3 linked regions of the Macaca fascicularis genome follow. The protein of the gene in region 1 interacts with the protein of each later gene in a pairwise test. Links are inferred from orthologs where the notes say so. Each region holds a gene or a part of one and is shown in the gene's direction. Other genes may lie near its edges. The genes, in order: MBIP, EPB41L3 and MCM7.

What was found.
Region 2: the proteins of MBIP (region 1) and EPB41L3 interact in a two-hybrid assay, tested with the Homo sapiens proteins (2 studies listed by BioGRID). The two-hybrid records come from large-scale screens. The link is inferred for Macaca fascicularis from reciprocal best matches to the Homo sapiens genes MBIP and EPB41L3.
Region 3: the proteins of MBIP (region 1) and MCM7 interact in binary tests that used the Homo sapiens proteins (3 or more experiments, as listed by UniProt). The two-hybrid records come from large-scale screens. The link is inferred for Macaca fascicularis from reciprocal best matches to the Homo sapiens genes MBIP and MCM7.

Annotation. Positions count from the first base shown.
Region 1 is NC_088381.1:104,146,781-104,150,428, reverse strand, and holds part of MBIP (MAP3K12-binding inhibitory protein 1), read left to right. Parts: intron 1-2,354; coding exon 2,355-2,420; intron 2,421-2,653; coding exon 2,654-2,806; intron 2,807-3,648. UniProt on the Homo sapiens protein: Inhibits the MAP3K12 activity to induce the activation of the JNK/SAPK pathway. Component of the ATAC complex, a complex with histone acetyltransferase activity on histones H3 and H4.
Region 2 is NC_088392.1:74,037,751-74,041,498, reverse strand, and holds the start of EPB41L3 (band 4.1-like protein 3), read left to right. Parts: upstream 1-1,251; 5' UTR 1,252-1,336; intron 1,337-1,825; exon of another isoform or gene 1,826-1,928; intron 1,929-3,748. UniProt on the Homo sapiens protein: Tumor suppressor that inhibits cell proliferation and promotes apoptosis. Modulates the activity of protein arginine N-methyltransferases, including PRMT3 and PRMT5.
Region 3 is NC_088377.1:48,752,558-48,756,305, reverse strand, and holds the start of MCM7 (DNA replication licensing factor MCM7), read left to right. Parts: upstream 1-923; 5' UTR 924-1,020; coding exon 1,021-1,051; intron 1,052-1,551; exon of another isoform or gene 1,552-1,844; intron 1,845-2,232; coding exon 2,233-2,312; intron 2,313-2,573; coding exon 2,574-2,738; intron 2,739-2,793; coding exon of another isoform or gene 2,794-2,801; intron 2,802-2,927; coding exon 2,928-3,052; intron 3,053-3,127; coding exon 3,128-3,308; intron 3,309-3,621; coding exon 3,622-3,748. Other genes in the region: AP4M1 (AP-4 complex subunit mu-1), read right to left, coding at 327-436, 544-601. UniProt on the Homo sapiens protein: Acts as a component of the MCM2-7 complex (MCM complex) which is the replicative helicase essential for 'once per cell cycle' DNA replication initiation and elongation in eukaryotic cells.

The DNA of each region.
Region 1 (3,648 bases):
CTGCTTAATAATAGACTATATTGCAAACTGGTTTTCATTTTGGTTACACAAAGTAAATGCTAACATTAAAAGTGTTTATCACTGGCGAAGATTATTTTAAAGTTCCTTTAGGAAATGAATGTGAGGTATGAGTGACAAGGTTGATCTATCCCACTAGTAAAAGGAACTGAGCTCTATGAGTTTCAAACCTATACATGTACTGTGAAATCATGATGTTAATACATAAGTGAACTTAAAGTTAATATTCCTCCAGAGGGAGCAGTTTTCTCACTACTCCTGAGCTGTTTGAAATGTCCTATGTCACAATACAACCAATTTATCATGAAGACTATGGTGTCTTGCTTTTTTCCTTTCTGCCATAGTGCATACGTTTGTTGTTTTTCATCAGATTCTCCTTTACCTCTCTACTTGATGCTATAGTACATTTACAAATCTGCAGTTATGCTGCAGAATACAAAATATTGCAAAGCAGTGCCATAGATCATACTCAGGCACCATAGTAATAATCAGAACAACTAGTTCTTAGGAAAAATTATGGAGAAGAATTCATAATTGGGATGAACATGTTTCTTGTTGCCTCTAATATCTCATGACTAATTATTATGAACATAGAATTGTCAGATGAACCTAAAACTGACTCATATCACATTGGTACACTGATTCTCTTAATAATGAAATAATATAGGCTGGTATTGGATCCTGAATTTAGCTGTGTGCTACTATTAACATTACACATGTGCATCTCTAAATTTGGTATATTTTCCTATTAGCTTTTCAGAACAGGTGCAACAATGGCAAAATCTCAGGTACTACAACCAGCTATAAGCGACTATGAGAAAGGGTTTGTTGCGAGAGCAAGCACATGTGTCACTAATGTTATTCCTCTGTTCTCCCTGCTAACTCTATTATTATAAACCACCAGGGGATAGAAATTGACAAGAATTGAAATGCTCAGCAGGATTCCTTGGCCCATTCAATTCCTTGCTGGCTCAAAACAGTGCTAGAAAGAATTGCTGTGGAGAGTGACTAGCACTCATATACTCACACCATGCTGAATTTCTCACTGATGGGTCAGTTAATCTATATGTTTGGAATATAGTTCTGGAATGGATGATAGCTTCTTTTTTTAACCCTTAGCCCCATTAAATGGTAGGAAGAGAATGGAGAAAGGATGGCCTTTTAAGCATATTTTGAGGTGCCTCCAAAAAAAAAAAAAAAAAAGGAAAGATGACTGTTTAGTCTCTGGATATAAAAGCTAAGTGGATTTGGAATTTTATGCATACTATTTGATTTATCAACAGAACTACTAAGGAAAGTTCAACTGAAAAAATATAAATGCATTTTAATATGTTAGTGTGTTCCTTTTTATTAAAAGGGATTTTAATAGTACAAATCTAACTATAAGCAGTGGAATTTTTAAAAATCAAATTTCATGGTGGGGGAAGGAATTTTTTTTTTAAGAATCTCATTTACCAGCCATTTTTTACAAAATATTCAAGGGAATTTTACAGGAGACTTACTGCCAATGTGTGGCTTTTAAGCATTGTTTCAAACACAAGTATATATTATTACTATGTAGTATCATATGTTAATATATAACAATTATGTTAATATATTAGTTGTATTATATGTTAACATCTTTCCAATTTTCCCCCTTTGTAATTTATGCATTGATATCTAATTTGAAAGAAACTATACTTTTCAGCTTGGAAAAAAATAGGAACAAATTTTCACAACAGACCTTTCCTAAATTTAAACTTTTTTGAAAGTGGTAGGATGAGAAGAAGTAGATGACTTTTGTGATGACAGATTTCTAAAATGAGCACTGGAAATCTAGGTAGAGTGGAAATGTGTGTGTACTTGAGGTTTTGAGGTCATCTTTATGTGGAGTTCTGAAATAAAAATGTGTTAAATACATAATTCTTTTTGTTGGGTGTTCACTAATTTGGCATTAAAATAAAACATGCTGAATTAAAAGAATTCTAGTAAAAATGATGAGTTCTAGTTCTACGATGAAGTAGAATTTAAATACTCTACAGTAGATTATTTTCTCCAGAGGCCCGAATAGTGACATTGGTTTTCAAAATTGTATCAATTTGTGCCACTTAATGTTGATGGCTTTTCTGTATATAAATCTGAATATTAGGTAAGAATATTAGATATTACGATACATTTTGACAGGTAAAGAAGGTCACTAAATTCTATCCTGTGTGTGATGGTAATTTATTGTTACTATTATTTATTAAAATTATTATGAGTAAAATGTTAATATGAATGATTGGAAGTTTATTAAAATCTCATACATTTGAAGGGAAGAATATATTTAAACTTATATTTATCTAAATTCTCCTTAGAAAATAGTTGTGCAAGAACTGATGCGATTTTTACTCCTTACCCCGGATTTAAAAGTCACGTAAAAGGTAAGTAACCACCACATGACATCTGAGTCACTGACAGAAGTCTAGATTATTAGCAAAATGGAATAGAAATAACTTTCCCATCTAAATTTTATTTTAAAACAAAAACATCTTGCCGTCCTTCATACTTGTGGTTAGATGGTCTTTATGAAAAAAATACAAAGTGCTGTTAGGGAATAAGAATTTCTGATTTTTGAAATATAAATGTATATAGGCTCAAAAGTTTGTTAATTTAGTTTCTAGAGTTGTGAATACATACGGACCACAGACTAGACCTGAAGGAATTCCAGGGTCAGGTCATAAACCTAACAGCATGCTTCGAGATTGTGGTAATCAGGCTGTAGAAGAACGACTACAAAATATTGAGGCCCACTTGCGGTTACAGACAGGTAAGCAGAGTGCTAAGTGGACCTCATAATGAACCTTTGCAAATGGTTAAAAAATTGCAGTTCATTTAGTCACCAAATTTTCCTTTAGCTCCTAACATTGTTTGAACGATAAGTGCCAGTCATTCAGAAAGTGTTATGTATATGTCAGTTCACTTAAAAGGTCATAGTACCCTTTTGAGGTGTTGGTGCTGTTATAATTGTACAGATAAATAAATTGAAGTTTAAAGAGCCCAAGCAACACGCCTCCGATAGTAAGTGACAACTCTTTAAAAAAAAAAAAAAAAGGAAAAGAGATAGTCCAGACTTGCCTAGGCTGGACTTGAACTCCTAGGCTCAAGTGATGCTCCTGCCTCAGCGTCCTGTGTCAGTGGGACTACAATCATGTGCCACTGCACCCTGCTCAAACCTAAATCTTCACTGGATGCAGAGCCTGAGTCTCCCTCTCCGTTTAGTCACCATGTCTGTTGATTCTGTTTTCTGAATAAATATCTCTCAAATCTGCCCACTTCTGTCTTATCTCTACTGCTGCTACCAGAGTTGAAGCTGCTGTGATCTCTTGCTTGGACTGATGGAAGGATATTTACTGGATTCTTTGCCACTAGACTTCCTCTAGATCATTCTCTATGCTGCGGCCAGATTGCTTTTTCTAAAACTCAAATTTGATCTTGTTTCTTCCCAGCTAAAAATTTGGAGATTGGGATTGGAGGGGGTTGTAATTTTAAGTAGTATTGTCCACATCTGTAGTTCCAGCTACACCTCTGGGCTTCCCATCTCCCACTCGTTTTGCTGCTTTAGGATCTTTATACTCATGCCCTTCTGTCCATGCTTTTTCTTCCTAATCC
Region 2 (3,748 bases), on another chromosome or scaffold:
CTTTTAATGAGTCCCTGAGCTCCTGGAGGGGCAACCGGATGATCTGGAGAAGGCTCTATTTAAAAAAAAATAATGTACAACATGAAAAGGATCTGATGTACAACATGAGGACTAGAGCTAAGAAGTGTCTTGTATTCAGGATTTTGCTAAATGAGTATATTATAGCTACACTTGCCACAAGTAGAGGGGTGTTGGGAGAAATGCATAACTATGTGAGATGATAGATATGCTAATTTGATCTACTATAATAACCATTTTACTATATATGTATCTTATGTTGTATGACTTATACATAAAATTTTAAAAATTAATATTTAATATTTTTATTTTTAATTTTTGTGGGTACATAGTATGTATATATATTTATGGGGGTACATTTGATGTTTTGCTACTGGCATGCAATGTGTAATAATCACATCATGGAAAACAGGAAATCCATCCTTCATTTATCCTTTGTGTTACAATTCAATTATACTTTATTTTAAAATGTGCAAATTATTTTGACTATAGTCACCCTGTTGTGCTATTAAATACTATGTCTTATTCACTCTATTCTTTTTGTGCCCATAAAAACATTTCTTAAATGTCTTAGTTACTCGGTCAGATCTTAAGATATTGTGAGACGACCAGGAGTTACTTATTTCACTTACAAATCAGGGAGCCCCCTCCGCTCCATTTCAGTGGAAAGCTTTATAGGTACTGGAGAGGACGGAGTAGCTGAGTTGCTGAAAGATGGGCGACTTCTCTTATCAACCATTAATTCAGATCTTCTCTATTAACATGACTTCAAAACACCACCAACTTGATTTTTATTTTCTTTCCAAAAAGAAAAAAAAAAAATACTGCAGTCCCTAGCCAATAAATAACTCACCTGAAGGTCAGGAACACCCCCTCCCTCCTTTCTCACAGGGGATGTCTGGGAGGGGAGAGGGGGCTGGAGAGGCCAGGCCATCATCTAAGTGGAAATCAAGGGCTAAAGCTATTGGCATTGGCAGCTGTCTCCAGGCGTCGTCCGCGGAGCCTGACCCTGCGCCAGGAAGGAGGAGGTTGTGCCCATGTAACTGTCCTGAAGTACTGCGCTGGCCCCCTCCCCCGCGGCTGGGAGGGCAGGCAGGACGAGGTTGGCTTTCCTTGCGCGGTCTCTGGGCGTGGGCCCCCGCCGCAGCTCCGCGGAGCCTCGGTGTCTCCTGCAACAGGGGGCGGGGGGAGCCGCGGCGAGCAGCCCTGGGCTGCGGCTTCCTCCCCACGCCCGAGTCTCCTGCGCACCGCCGCCGAGGACGCGCGCCCGAGCCTGGTCCCCACGCCGCGGCGCGCCTGGGCTATCCGCTGATCCCAGGTAACTTTTCCGCCTCCCGGAGTGGGGGACTGCGAGGGGGTCTCGGCTTTACGAGGTGCGGAGGAAGAGCCCGAGGCCTGGGGCGAGGCGCACGGGCTGTGGGGCTGACGCGTGGCTCCGGCGCCGCGCGGTCTCCCGAATCCCGAGCCCCGCGCCTGGGGTCCCCAACCGCCCTCCCGCTCGCCGGGACCCTCGGCGGGCCGAGCCTGTGCGCCGCGCCCCCCGCCCGCTCCACCCGCCGCGCTGCAGCAGTGGCTGGGCCGGCGCGCAGAGCCTGAGTCCCGGCCTCCGGCCTGGGGGCCTCCCTGGGATCCCTGGCCGATGGGGCAACTCGGTCCCCGCGTCCCTTCTCCGCCAATTTTCGCAAATCCCCCGCCCGGGGCGCCATGTTTTAAGTTGCCCCTCGGACTGGGGGCGAGCGCGGGCCGGCCCCTCCCCCGGGGAGGTGCGAGGGACAGGGGGCGACACTGCGGCGCCGCCCGGGCGGGTGGCGGCTGGCGGCTGGCGGGCCGCGGGAGGGGCCGTGCGCTCAGTGCGCGGCGGCTGCGGGCTCGTCCCGGGTGCAGGCGCGGGCGGGCGCGGCGCGGGGCCGGTAAGGTGCGCTCCGCACAAAGCATCCCCGCTGGGCAGCGGGGCCGGCCGCTTTTATATAACTTGCCTCGTTCCCCGAACTGGGGCAGCGGCCCCCGGCCGGTGGGGGAGGAGGAGGGAGCGTCCAAGCGGGGTTGCCCTGGGCCTGGGCACCTGCAGGGGCCCCTCGCCTCTGGCACCCGGGGGCGGGCCGGGGGCGCCTGGGTCGGCCTGTCGTGGCCCGGGGGCTTGGGGCGGCGCGACTCACCTGGCGCCCTCCGGGCTGCGATTCGCCTTGGGAGGTGTCTGCGAAGGCGGCTCTGCAGCGGTGGGGGTGGGGAGGCTGGGGCTTCGGACCGCTGGAGCTGGGGTGTCAGCCAGTTCCTGGCGGGTGTTTCCTGGTTGCTGCCGCAGGGGCTTGCTTTTTCGGGTTTCGCCTCTAATCTCGCCCGACTTCTTCCCCTTCTCCCCCACCCCCCCCACGCCCGCGAAGTTCATGGCTTCTGCAATGCGGTGGGTGTGGTTACCTAGTAAATTGTAACTGTGGTCCCTTGCAATGAGAGTATTCTTCTCAATTTTCTTTCTATATTACGGATCTGAAGTTTCCTAGGGTTTTTCCTTTAGTTGCAGCCCAGGGTTAAAGTTGGTAGAGATTATTGCGGAACAGAACAAATAGAATGATAAAGGAAACATGTGGTATTAATTACTTGTGGAGGTTGGGCTGGGAGGTCCTGCGAGGGCCCGGCAGTCCTGCTAATGCAGTGCTTCCATTGCGTGTTTAAGTTGTTTCAGCTTTTTTACATTAGTCTTGCGGAATTGCTTTTGCAGATATCCTGCCTGTCCTTTTTGTTGGGGGGCGGGGGTTGCAATGGGAATTTTAAGCTCTCTGAGGTGGCCAGGTGTGCTGGAGTTTCTTTTGATAGCATTAACTTCTGTAGTACAGGAAGCGTCACACGAAGTGCTTAAAAACATTATTTTTGAAATTCACCCTGATTTTTAAAGTCTCAAGGAAACAAAAATGGTAAAATTCCACTTGATGTCTGTGAGCCATGGACGTAGTCCCAATTACAGCAAATTAAGCAGAAAAGCCCTATTAAGAAAAGAGAGCAGCACATCAAGCTCCAGTGAACTCTGGGGACTGAGAGGTGATTTCTGTCTTGGCTCAGAGAGAGTGTTTAAAAAATGCATGTTAATTTTGGTATCAAACTTTAAAAACTTTAGTTGGAGTAACAAAATTAATGTGAGAGGGAATAAATACTAAATTGGAGAAGCGTGACTTCAATTTGTTAATTTGCAAGGCATTGATAGCTGAATGCTTAATACTATCTCATTTGCATTATGGTTTTCTGGTAGTTTAGAAAAGTAAACTATTAGATGCACAACACTGCATCAAGTTTATTTAGTTAATACACTTTAGCCAAAATAAGTTTTTCAAAACAGATCATGTTTTGTGAATAATTCATCCATAACAAGAAGAGTAGCCACTTTAATTTGTAAACCCCTTTTAGGTGAAGGATTTGGGAGCTATAGATCAAATGTCAGTGTCTCAGTGAGATATTTACATTTAATTTTTAAGACATTTCTTCTGCTTGAATGTGATTTAGGTTAAAAGCAATTTTTCATCAATTCTTATACAGTGCTTGGACTTTGGCCAACTTTGTGTTGAAATAAAAAGATCAGGATATTTTTAAACTTGATCGGATGCAATTTTATTTATAATTGTTTTTTAAGAACTGGTTGGTCAGATGCATTAAGGGGCCACCTAGGTAGAAGAGATGCCACTATCCATGCACTGAGAGATGTGTTGCTGTTACTTGTGAATCTTTTCTGGACTTACATGGT
Region 3 (3,748 bases), on another chromosome or scaffold:
CTCTTCGGTTCAAGCGATTCTCCTGCCTCAGCTTCCCGAGTAGATGGGATTACAGGCGCCCGCCACCACGCCCAGCTAATTTTTTTTTCGTATTTTTAGTAGATGCGAAGTTTCAGCATGTTGGTCAGAATGGTTTCGAACTCCTGACCTCAGGTGATCCGCCCTCCTCGGCCTCCCAAAGTGCTGGGATTACAGGCGTGAGCCACCGCGCCGGGCCTCTTGTTAGTTTTACTTGGAGAAATACAACCCCCAAGTGGAAGCTACCATGGAACCAGTCCTGGGAGGGAGACGGCGCCCACCCGGCCCGCCCGGGCCCAGCTCCTCACCCGCCTCCCGCCAGTGGTTACCATGACAACCGGGGACTCGTCTCCTGGCAGTCCCGTCAGCTTCCGGTAGAAGAGCTCGGCCACATCCCGGCCGCCACTGTCCCCGCGGACTGGCGGGTGGAAGGACTCAGTGAAGGATCCTGCGACACGGGCTGGCCCTGGGCGCCCCTCCCGCCCGGTCCCTCCGCCCCTTCCCAGCCCCGAGGGTCTAGGATACAGTCTTTGTAGATGAGCGGGTCCCCCTTGGAGGACAGAATGAAGAACTGGGAAATCATGGCCGTCCTGGAGAGCAGACAAGAAGACGGCGAAAGTTGGGCCTGCCCCGCCCTGAGGCCCCGGAACAAAAGAACGCGCGTGCGCTGGCCCTTTAAGAGCGATTCTCCTCCGCCGCGCCAGCTTGGACCGCGGGAAACCCGGCGCCCGCCCCACCCCGCCCGGAGATTCCCTTCCGACTCCCGCACCGCCTCCCCGTCACTCATTCGAGGCCCGCCCGGCGATTGGCTTGCGGCTAGCGGGAGGGAGAAAGGGCCGGCTTTTCCGATTGGCCCGCACGCAGTGGCGCTGGTCACGTGGGGGGCGACGTTTCGCGCCAATTTCGGTTGGCCGGCCACAGTCCACCGCGCGGACGTTCTCAGCTTCCCCAGAAGCAAGACCTCTGAGCCCGCCAAGAGCTGCCGCACAGGCCTCGGCAGCGATGGCACTGAAGGACTACGCGCTAGAGAAAGGTACGGGTCTACAAGCCTGGGAGGGCGTCCTGCGCGGGGAGCCTCCCGGGGAACACCTGTTGATGTGAGCTGGGGTCTTCGAGGACCGGGGTCAGCGGGTTCTGGGGCGCGCGACGCCAGAGGCAGGGTCGGGTTGCGGCCTGGCTAAGGCCCACGGGACCTGGAAGGCGCGCGAGGGGCATCGACGTTGAAGAAAAGGTAGTAATCCCACTTGGGAAAGGTGTTATAGAGTTGGGGGGCTTGGGGGGCGCTACCCGGCTGAGGGCTGCACAGGGAAGAGTCGCGCCGAGGACCTCAGGAGACTCTAAGGGCTCTGGACCCCGGACCCGCTTCCCTCCGCGCTTTTGGATATTCCCAGGTTCCCGCCGCCTCCCCGAGGCGCGCGGAGGCCCCGGGGGCGGGCAAGCCGGGGCCGCTACGTGCCGGGATTGGCCGTTTGAGGCCGCCCTCCGAGCGGAAGTGGAGCCGGGCGGAAGTGGCGCGACGCGGGTGGAGGGAGTGTCGTGTAAACAGTGTCCTTCCGCGTGGCGGCCTCGGAGAGAGCTGCGACCCGGGGGGGCGTGCCTGGGATCCGGGAGCTTCGCTCGGGCCCGGGAAAGGCGGCAGTGGGCTGGGATCGCAGTGGCCCTGGGCGTGCTGGCCAATGGCTGAACTGGCTCCCGCCTCGGGCGGAGGAATCCCGGGCTGTGAAGCGGCTGGAATCCGGGCCCATGTGCTTCTTTGTTTACTAAGAGCGGAAGCGCTGGCGGGAGCGGTGGTGGGGTGCGGGACCTGCCTGGTGGCGGAGGTCTCGGTGAGATAAGGGGCTCGGGGGACCCAAAGAAGGCAGGGGATCATGGGGGTGGAAAGAAAGCTGAGAACCTTGAGGCCGGAGTGTGGGAGGCCAATGGGGAACGGCGCTAGGATTTTAAACTAAAGTAGGGACAGGAATTCCCCTGGGGAATAGATGTTGGATCGCCCTGTGCACTGCCCCGGGCTCTTTATTCTTCGCTGGTTAAAACAGACTGTGCAAAAGAGTTATGCCCACTTTGGGGAGAATTCGGTAGTTTATTTAAATGTTCATATTATTAGTTCATAGGCTGTGTTTTAAGCGAAAATAGGTATCTTAGATTTCTATCAGAGGGATGGGCAGTGATGTGTCTTAAAGTTTATGTTTTATGATTTTACATTTCACGTTACAGAAAAGGTTAAGAAGTTCTTACAAGAGTTCTACCAGGATGATGAACTTGGGAAGAAGCAGTTCAAGTATGGGAACCAGTTGGTAAGTATAAGATTGGGTAAAGGGAATGGGGAAGTGGGGTGCATAAGGAGCCATAAGAAGTAGCTTGGCTGGTTTTATTAAAGAGGTAATAATTAGAGGGTTTGGGGGCTGAGAAGCAAGTATCTCTCTAAGTGGTGCTGTGTTCCCCCCTGTGGATGCCCAGAGCCTGTGCTGAGTTCTCAGTAATGTATCTTCACATATGAACACTGGTGCACAAGGTGAATGTGGCTTTGAGGTGTTTCTGTCTCTTTCTCACCTGAGGTTCGGCTGGCTCATCGGGAACAAGTGGCTCTGTATGTGGACCTGGACGACGTAGCCGAGGATGACCCCGAGTTGGTGGACTCAATTTGTGAGAATGCCAGGCGCTACGCAAAGCTCTTTGCCGATTCCGTACAAGAGCTGCTGCCTCAGTACAAGGAGAGGGAAGTGAGTGGCTAGAGAACAATGGCAAACAAAGGGAAAGGCATTTAAGCTTCTGTAGAGAGGCTGGTCAGATACTGATGTTTTCTGAGCAGGCAGAAAGAAGGGGCATTTCAGTCTGGTGTTCTCTGCACTCTCCTTTCCCCATCCTGTTGCTCGTTTATTTATTTATTTGTTTATTTTGTCCTCCTTTAGGTGGTAAATAAAGATGTCCTGGACGTTTACATTGAGCATCGGCTGATGATGGAGCAGCGGAGTCGGGACCCTGGAACAGCCCGAAGCCCCCAGAACCAGTACCCTGCTGAACTCATGCGCAGATTGTGAGTGGTCTCTGTTTGGAAGTATGTAGGGATTGGTTCTCCAGGATCTTGTTTGTGACTGTTTTCTCCCCTTAGTGAGCTGTATTTTCAAGGCCCAAGTAGCAACAAGCCTCGTGTGATCCGGGAAGTGCGGGCTGACTCTGTGGGGAAATTGGTGACTGTGCGTGGAATTGTCACTCGTGTCTCTGAAGTCAAACCCAAGATGGTGGTGGCCACTTACACTTGTGACCAGTGTGGGGCAGAGACCTACCAGCCGGTACGTGTGGAGCAAGGAGCAGGAAAGCCCTTACCCATTAGTCGTTTTGTAGAGATTAATTTGATCCCGTGATGCCTATCATTTTCTTTGCTTGTAAAAGTTGCCTGTGTGTTTGCCTTTCATTGTTGGGTATGTAATGGTCTTTCTACCTATTTCTTGGGTGTTTGTTGTTGACCCAGAGTTAAGTTCAAAGGGTTCTTGACACTTCCAAGATGTCTGCCATGAAGAGAAAATGTGATTCAAGGAACCGACCGACCCAATGGGGCTCTTTTGCTTCTGACTTCCTTTTGCTGCTTCTGTTCTCACATCCTAGATCCAGTCTCCAACTTTCATGCCTCTGATCATGTGCCCAAGCCAGGAGTGCCAAACCAACCGCTCAGGAGGGCGGCTGTATCTGCAGACACGGGGCTCCAAATTCATCAAATTCCAGGAGATGAAGA